Linked DNA regions of Danio rerio. The protein of the gene in region 1 purifies or fractionates together with the protein of each later gene. This does not show direct contact. Links are inferred from orthologs where the notes say so. Each region holds a gene or a part of one and is shown on either strand. Other genes may lie near its edges. The genes, in order: ndufab1b and lyrm2.

Region 1 (3,231 bases):
TAAATAGTATGGAAGTATGCGGTTTCGGACGCAGCCTAACTCTGCACACTTGAAGCAACAATAAATGTGTAGGGAAGAAAAATCACCATGTAAAAATGTGATAAAGGTTAACAAGCACTCCCACATGCTGTCAGTACTTGTTGAGTAATTACTTAAATATAAACGTATCGTTTGTAATAAATGTATACATGTCTGATGAAGACTGAAACGTTACTATTAAATAATCTATTCAGTTGTTGTTGTTGATAGTGGGCAGGATTGTTTGTTCTTCTATTTCTGGTAAAAAAGAATAGATCCACGCATTCTCTAACTGATAATATTACCCATAATACTCTGTGCGTTGGACATGAATTCGATTAGAGTTACAAATCTGGGTAAAACGTCTAAACAAACTACAAACATGTTAGAACACATGTGACTGAGCGTTAAGTGGAGAGGCTTTGGTAAAGACGTTTGAATGATTGTTATTTAATATCCAACCTTATGGAATATGTACTTGACGTTTTCCAGGTTATATTTAATCTGGAACAACAATGTAAACTTAAATAAAAAATAAAATTAAAAATCAGTCCAAGGCAGACCAGGGGCAGCCAAGCTGGAGCACGTACTCTGGTGCCCTGGGCTCTGCGATGGTTAGGGAAATTCAAAATTGAACATGAATCTTTATAATTGGCTTAAGATTGGCAATGAAAATTTAAAAATAGCAGCCAGCAGATCCAGGGAAAAAAATCAGTCCAAGGCGCTCAAAAACATGGAGGAAAAATATTAAAAAGTCTTTATTGACATAGCTATTCCTTAAAATGGAGCCATTTTGGCTGAATAGCCATGTCAATAAAGGTTTTTAATATTTTTTTCATTTTTGCTTTTTTTTTTTTCTGATGAATCTCTTCTCAGAACAAACACATTATTTAAGATTCCCCTGAGCACTTTTTGTCTGACTTTGGATTTTTCTATGAAACGTGTTTGGAAATTCTTCTAAAAGCGTAATTAACCAAAGACCTGATGAGATTTCTCTGCTTGAAAGAGTTGCTATTGGCTAATTCATTGTTTCCCAACCCTGTTCCTGAAGGCACATCACCAATACACATTTTCAACCTCTTCCTAATCAAACATCCCTTAATCAACTCATCAGACCATTAAAAGAGACTTCAAAACCTGAAATGAATGGGTAAGGTAAGGGATAAGGTAAACGTCCAAAATATGTACTGTTGGTGTGCCTCCAGGAACTGGGTTGGGAAACGCTGGGCTAGTTAACCTGCTGCTGACTCTCCATTATCATAGGTATTTTGATATGAAAGAAATGGGGATGATATGTCGAGATGAGTGACAGGGCACATAACTAAGCAACAGTCTGTTAATGAGGAAGTAGTATGTCCAAAAAATCATATTTATAATTATATTTATGTAGCACTTTTACAATGTAGATTGTGTCAAAGCAGCTGAACATAGAAGTTCTAGTAGATTGAAACTGTCAGTCAGTTTTCAGAGTTGAAGATCAGTTCAGTGTGGCTTAAATTTGACTGCTGAAAGTTCAAACACTGAAGAGCAAATCCACCGATGCACAGCTCCACAATTGCCAAACCAAGCAAGCCAGTGGTGAGGAACAAAACTTCACCAATTGATGAAAGTGAAGAAGAAAAAAAACCTTGAGAAAGCAGGCTCAATTGAGCACGACCATTTCTCCTCTGGCCAGACTTCTTGTGCAGAGCTGCAGACTAGGCGCTGGAGGCTGGAGAAAGCTAAACGTCCTCCAGCACCAAAACTGCAGTCACTTAAACGTATATACTTTCCCTAAACAAAAAAAGTATGTGAATTGGGACGCAGCATTGATTGGATTTACAGATTTATTACTTTCAATGTTCTTAGTTTACATTTGAGATCTACTTATTCCTAGCTTCTCACTGATATGATTGCCTTTTACTGTTTCCTTTAAAGCTTAAATCGACGTCTCACTTCATGAAAGATCTGGGGCTGGACAGCTTGGACCAGGTGGAGATTATAATGGCCATGGAAGATGAGTTTGGTTAGTATCGGGTTTGTTCATATTAAGTCATCTCACAACTGTGATTTACTCTGCAAACGCTTTATGTGAATGCTGGTGCTCAAAGAGATTGTGTCGTTTACAGGGTTCGAGATCCCAGATGGGGATGGAGAGAAGCTTATGACTCCTGAGGAGATTGTAACATACATTGCAGATAAAAAAGATGTGTATGAATAGAGGCAAGTCACATGGTATGCGCTATTGTTTTTAGTTAAGCTAATCTATTTAGATTGTAGGAAATCCAGTCATGCTTGAAGAGATTGGTAAGAGTAACGTTTCTTCGCTCTTCTCCTGCAGGTATGGAGGATTGACTCTGTATTAAACAATATGGCTGCAGCATTGAGTTCCAGTTGTACTATCTCCAGTCTCTTGTTTATGGAGTCAACTGCCTTGTCATGTGTACTGTTGTATTTAATGAAAATGTCACTATAAACTTTTTGGGAACTTGAGCTGAAAATAAAGCCAAGACTAAATTGTAATGCTTTGTTTTGTCATGATCTACGACGTGAAGCCTCACTGCTCCCTCTGGTGGTTGGAAAGAAACACTGCTGTTTGAGTATAATAGGTTTCCAATTCTGTTTCTGGAGGGCCAATAGTTCTAAGTTCTTCAACACGCTTGCTTGGAAGTCTCTGATCAGCTGGTTGAGGTGTTTTATTTGGACAGTAAATTTAATGTTCTCTGGCTGCCATGATCAGTCTCTCACAATGTTTTTTTCTTTTCTGAAAGTCTTGATAATGTCATCTTATAGTTTTTCTCTTATTTGTAGGACTCCCTATTTACTGTGCTCTAAGTTTACCTTGAGAAACCTAGAAATGTGAAAAGGGTCCATTAGACAAACTTGGATTAAAAAAAAAATGTTAAAGCTCGTATCCTAACAATCCACTTCTAATCAAATGCTGTGTTTTGAACGAATATAAATGAAACTGACTAAAGACCCCTAAATGGGAAAACAACAGGACATTGTCATTAACCGAGGCCATAAAAATGGCATATTCCTGCTTTCTTCTCTTTAAAGGAACTAAAACCAATTTTAAAAATAACCGAGCTCATTCACTAAAGAATAAAATCTACATTTCCATGAATTTATTAATTGTATTTTATTCCATAAACTACTGATGGCACAAAAACGTGTGATGTTTTCAGACATTTAAATATTTTAACCTAATACCAAACACTATCTTTTGAAGAG
Region 2 (4,604 bases), on another chromosome or scaffold:
ACTTCCACTATGTGGTTTAGACTCAATATCAGTCCAAAAATATTAGTGGGGTATATGCACACGGACTTTTATTTTCAGTCAGCCAGCCTCAGGGCTTCCGGTTAATTGTCATCCCATACAAAATAAGATCTGATTTCTTTAAAAAAAATCAGTGATCTTCACTGCCTGGCTAAGATAGGATATAAAGTGGGTATCAGTCCAAGCAAGAAGCACTGCATTAAGTTATATTTCCCCCTGCCATGTCTTTAAAATATGGAAATTAATTTTACCTCAGTATTTTCAATGGAGTTTCTGCGCTCGCCTGCGGGTAATGATGGTGCCTGCGTTTAAACTGTCTTTCGTCTCTTTTTACGGTTTAACAACTAAATTAATGCTTTAGTCTATTGAACTGAATGCATTTTAATTACATTACAACATCAAGGCTGTAAAAGGAACCTTATGAAATTGAAAATAGTCACATAAAGATCTCACAGGAAGTTCATCATTGGCACTAGCTGTGCATAGAGCCGACAAATATTAAAGATTACATTTTTACATTAAAGCTATTTCGTGTTATAGTTACAGGATATGTATGCCTGCGAACACAAAGGGGGAAAAAACAGAATCTAAACAAAAATAATAAAATATGCAGGAATAAAACGGGAAATTGTCAAGAGAAGCTTTGTGAAGTCACGAATGGATGAACAAACTTTAATCTGTTTCTTGATTTAAGAAAAATTAAAGTCAACCCTGCTTATGCAACAGAATCAGATCAACCCGTTTAAGTGTTATAATAATAAATGTGAAATAAATTATGTGGAACGAAGAATGTAACACAATAATAATTTTGGAGTGACTAGTAAAATAATGGGCAGCCATCATGAAAATCTGCGAACATAATTGTATTAAATATAGACTTACTACAATTAACTCCGCAATTTAATTCTGACAATTATTATAAAATACTGAAAATACATATTAGATTCTTCAAGTAGATGGCGGTATTCGGCAACCAACCGGTTGTTGCTAGAAGGGATACAGCAACGGACGGAAGTTAGCGAGAATTATTTGTTCTATTCATTAATTTATACGTTAATTTTATTTTATTAACGTCTACCCCTACTTCAACACTAAACCTAATAATCACGGTAATGTTAAACCTGTAATTATACCTAGCATTATTCATATTATTTATTATATTACCCATTAAATTGTATTTTGTTAACGTCTACCCCTATCCTAACCCTAAACACAACCCGTATATTAATTATTGTACAGTCACACAAAAATTATGCTATACTGACGTGATTATCCGCAGCTGTATCCCTTCTAGACTAACTCTTCGTCAGATACAAAAGATGAAAAAGAAAACGCAGGTCTGGATCGGTTAACTCCTCCCCTTATTGCGCACTATCAGCGCACTACACAGCAAATGTGGGCGTTTCTGAATTTGAGGGTGTTTCCAAAATAATGGGTTGTTCCAATGAACATGATCGACCACACCCCTAAACCGCTGTCACTTTGAATCGAGCCAATCAGGTAGGACAATGGAAAAACGCCCCTCTAGTTTCACACAACAATTCCCTCCCACCACTTTCCTGCAGAGGAAAGAACATGGCGGTGTCTCGGTTACCACCAGCGGCTCTGAGTCTCAAACAGGTAAAGTCACGGTAAATCTTTGCTTATAAGTGTCTTACATTGGCGATAAAGCAAGTATAGATCGACAGTGAGCTGATCTTCACTACAGCTGCTGTCCGGACACGCGTATGCAGCACGAACAACAGCTAAATGTGTGTGTGTGTGTGTGTGTGTGAGAGAGACATAGAAATCTGACAGGCTATATGCAAATTACATACATGACGTACAAGCTTATGTTTACATTTCAGATAAATAATGTCAAAATATTAGAAAAATGTCTGTTTAAATATATATATATATATATATATATATATATATATATATATATATATATATATATATATATATATCAAACTATTAGAAAAACAGATAACGTTAGGTTTCAATATATCAGCTATCATCGTATGTTCTTCATATATATGGCTATAGAACATCTAAAATATTTGAACATGTATGTACATATTTGTAATTCTAATGGTCGAAACATATGTAAACAGATAGTTTTTTCGCAATATTTTGAGGTACATGTTGCGTATTTGACATATTATATTTCTCAAATCTAAATATGAACTTCTATGTCAGTATATAATTTGCATACACTCACTGGCCACTTTATTAGGTACACCTTCCAAGTATCGGGTTGAAGCCTCTTTTGCCTTCAGAACGGCTTTAATCCTTCGTGGCAGAGATGCAACAAGCTACTGGAAATATTCCTCAGAGATTTTGCTCCATATTGACATAATAGCATCACACAGTTGCTGCAGATTTGTCGGCTGCACATCCATGATGCCAATCTCCCGTTCCACCACATCCCAAAGCTGCTCTATTGGATTGAGCTCTGGTGACTGGGGAGGCCATTTGAGTACACGTATGACATGGTGCGTTATCCTGCTGGAAGTAGCCATCAGAAGATGGAGACACTGTGCTCATAAAGGGATGGACATGGGCAGCAGCAATACTCAGGAAACCGCTGATACAAGGCAGGATGGATCCATGCTTTCATGTTGTCGAGGCCTAATTCTGACCCGACCATCCGAATGTGACTGAGACTCATCAGAGCAGGCAACGTTTCTCCAATCTTCTATTGTCCAGTTTATTTTAATATTTTTGAGATGTGAATATTTTTCTGGTGTGAATCTCTTTTTTGAGATCTCAATCAGGTTAAGGTCAGGACTCTGACTGGGCCATTCCAGAAGGTGTATTTTCTTCTAGTAAAGCCGTTCTGTTGTTGATTTCTTTACAAATCTGTTTCAGTTCAGCATTATTCTTGGGATGTCTGGTGTGAATCACCCTCTTGAGGTCATGCCACAGTATCTCAATCGGGTTGAGCTCAGGACTCTGACTGGGCCACTCCAGAAGATGTATTTTCATCTGTTGTTGATTTACTTCTATGCGTTGGATCTGTCTTCTGTTGCCTCACACATCCTCTGGGTCTATTCTTAATCCCAGAGGGTTCATGTACGTCTTCTTGCAACTGGATGCATGTGTGTGTGTGTGTGTGTGTGTGTGTGTGTGTGTGTGTGTGTGTGTGTGTGTGTGTGTGTGTGTGGTCATTTACAGTCCAGCCGCTGTAGTAAACCCATGTTGTGTTGTGTTCAGTTTCTGCAGAGACAGAAGGTGCTGTGTTTGTACAGAGATCTGCAGCGCACCATCCGCAGGGTCCCGCACGAGTCTGACCGCAAATACCTGCGAGACTGGGCCCGAGACGAGTTCAGGAGGAACAAGAGCAACACAGACCAGGTGGACACCTCACACACTTTCAGATTTTATTAGTAACGTTCTATTATTCTAATAAGCAAGATTACAAACAAGCAAAGCAATAACAAACATTGCTTAGAAGAGTTTTTATTATTTATTTATTTCCACTGAGTCTTCAGTCGTGGTGTTTTGTGAAATGGGGTGTTTTCCCTGTGCAGGATGCCATCCGCATGATGATCAGTCAAGCGCACAATCATCTGGAGGAGTTGAGGAGATCTCTGGCTCTGGCTGGATGCTGAAACTCTGCTGAAAACCCAGACTACAATGAGGACACACACATCTATATTTATTTATCATGCACACATTTATTAATAAAACCCAGCTTAACAAACTCACTTCATATAGACTCTGTGTGTAGTTGCGTCTTTTCAGTACAGCTCCAGTCTAACGCTCCGTCCTGGTGTCCACGTCTGATTACATTTACAGATGTGGTTTATGTAGAAAGCTTGAATACTTCTGGTGTTATTGATGATTATCACACGGCTGTCTGGAATACTGGATTCTGATTGGTCAGTCGTGACATTACAAGGTATGTTATTCCCAGATAACAACCACTGAATAACACAGACTCATCCTGGAACTGAGAATCACCATCAGTGAATATGTTCACATCCATATACTTACATCCACACTCATGTGTGTGTGCTTTAGTTTTGGACTGTTTGGCTCAGTTTTTGTAAATGAATAACCCACAGGTTAGTGTATACTCCATTAGCTGTTTTAGTTTAGGTCAGCTCTGCGTTTAATGAAAGAATTAATTAACTATTACTGTTAATTAATTAGGGAGAGGCAGTGGCGCAGTAGGTAGTGCTGTCGCCTCACAGCAAGAAGGTTGCTGGGTCGCTGGTTCGAGTTGGCGTTTCTGTGTGGAGTTTGCATGTTCTCCCTGCCTTAGGTGGGTTTCCTCCGGGTGCTCCGGTTTCCCCCACAGTCCAAAGACATGCGGTACAGGTTAATTGGGTAGGCTAAATTGTCCGTAGTGTATGAGTGTGTGTGTGAATGTGTGTGTGGATGTTTCCCAGAGATGGGTTGCGGCTGGAAGGGCATCCGCTGCATAAAAAACTTGCTGGATAAGTTGGCGGTTCATTCCGCTGTGGCGACCCCGGATTAATAAAGGGACTAAGCCGACAAGAAAATGAATGAATGAATGTTAATTAATTGACATAGTCCATAAAAACAGTTCTCCATTTCTTATTTAAACAATTAAGAACAACATAAAACAGAAATAT

Evidence for each region.
Region 2: the proteins of ndufab1b (region 1) and lyrm2 purify together in Homo sapiens (affinity purification with mass spectrometry; 3 studies listed by BioGRID and IntAct, counting the BioPlex papers as one, with this or other methods). This does not show direct contact. The link is inferred for Danio rerio from reciprocal best matches to the Homo sapiens genes NDUFAB1 and LYRM2.

What each region holds. Positions count from the first base shown.
Region 1 is NC_133178.1:34,393,478-34,396,708, reverse strand, and holds the end of ndufab1b (NADH:ubiquinone oxidoreductase subunit AB1b), read left to right. Parts: intron 1-1,935; coding exon 1,936-2,023; intron 2,024-2,126; coding exon 2,127-2,218; 3' UTR 2,219-2,232; intron 2,233-2,338; 3' UTR 2,339-2,520; downstream 2,521-3,231. UniProt on the Homo sapiens protein: Carrier of the growing fatty acid chain in fatty acid biosynthesis.
Region 2 is NC_133195.1:1,238,298-1,242,901, forward strand, and holds the start of lyrm2 (LYR motif-containing protein 2), read left to right. Parts: upstream 1-1,548; 5' UTR 1,549-1,593; coding exon 1,594-1,638; intron 1,639-3,216; coding exon 3,217-3,357; intron 3,358-3,533; coding exon 3,534-3,614; 3' UTR 3,615-4,017; exon of another isoform or gene 4,018-4,172; 3' UTR 4,173-4,604. UniProt on the Homo sapiens protein: Involved in efficient integration of the N-module into mitochondrial respiratory chain complex I.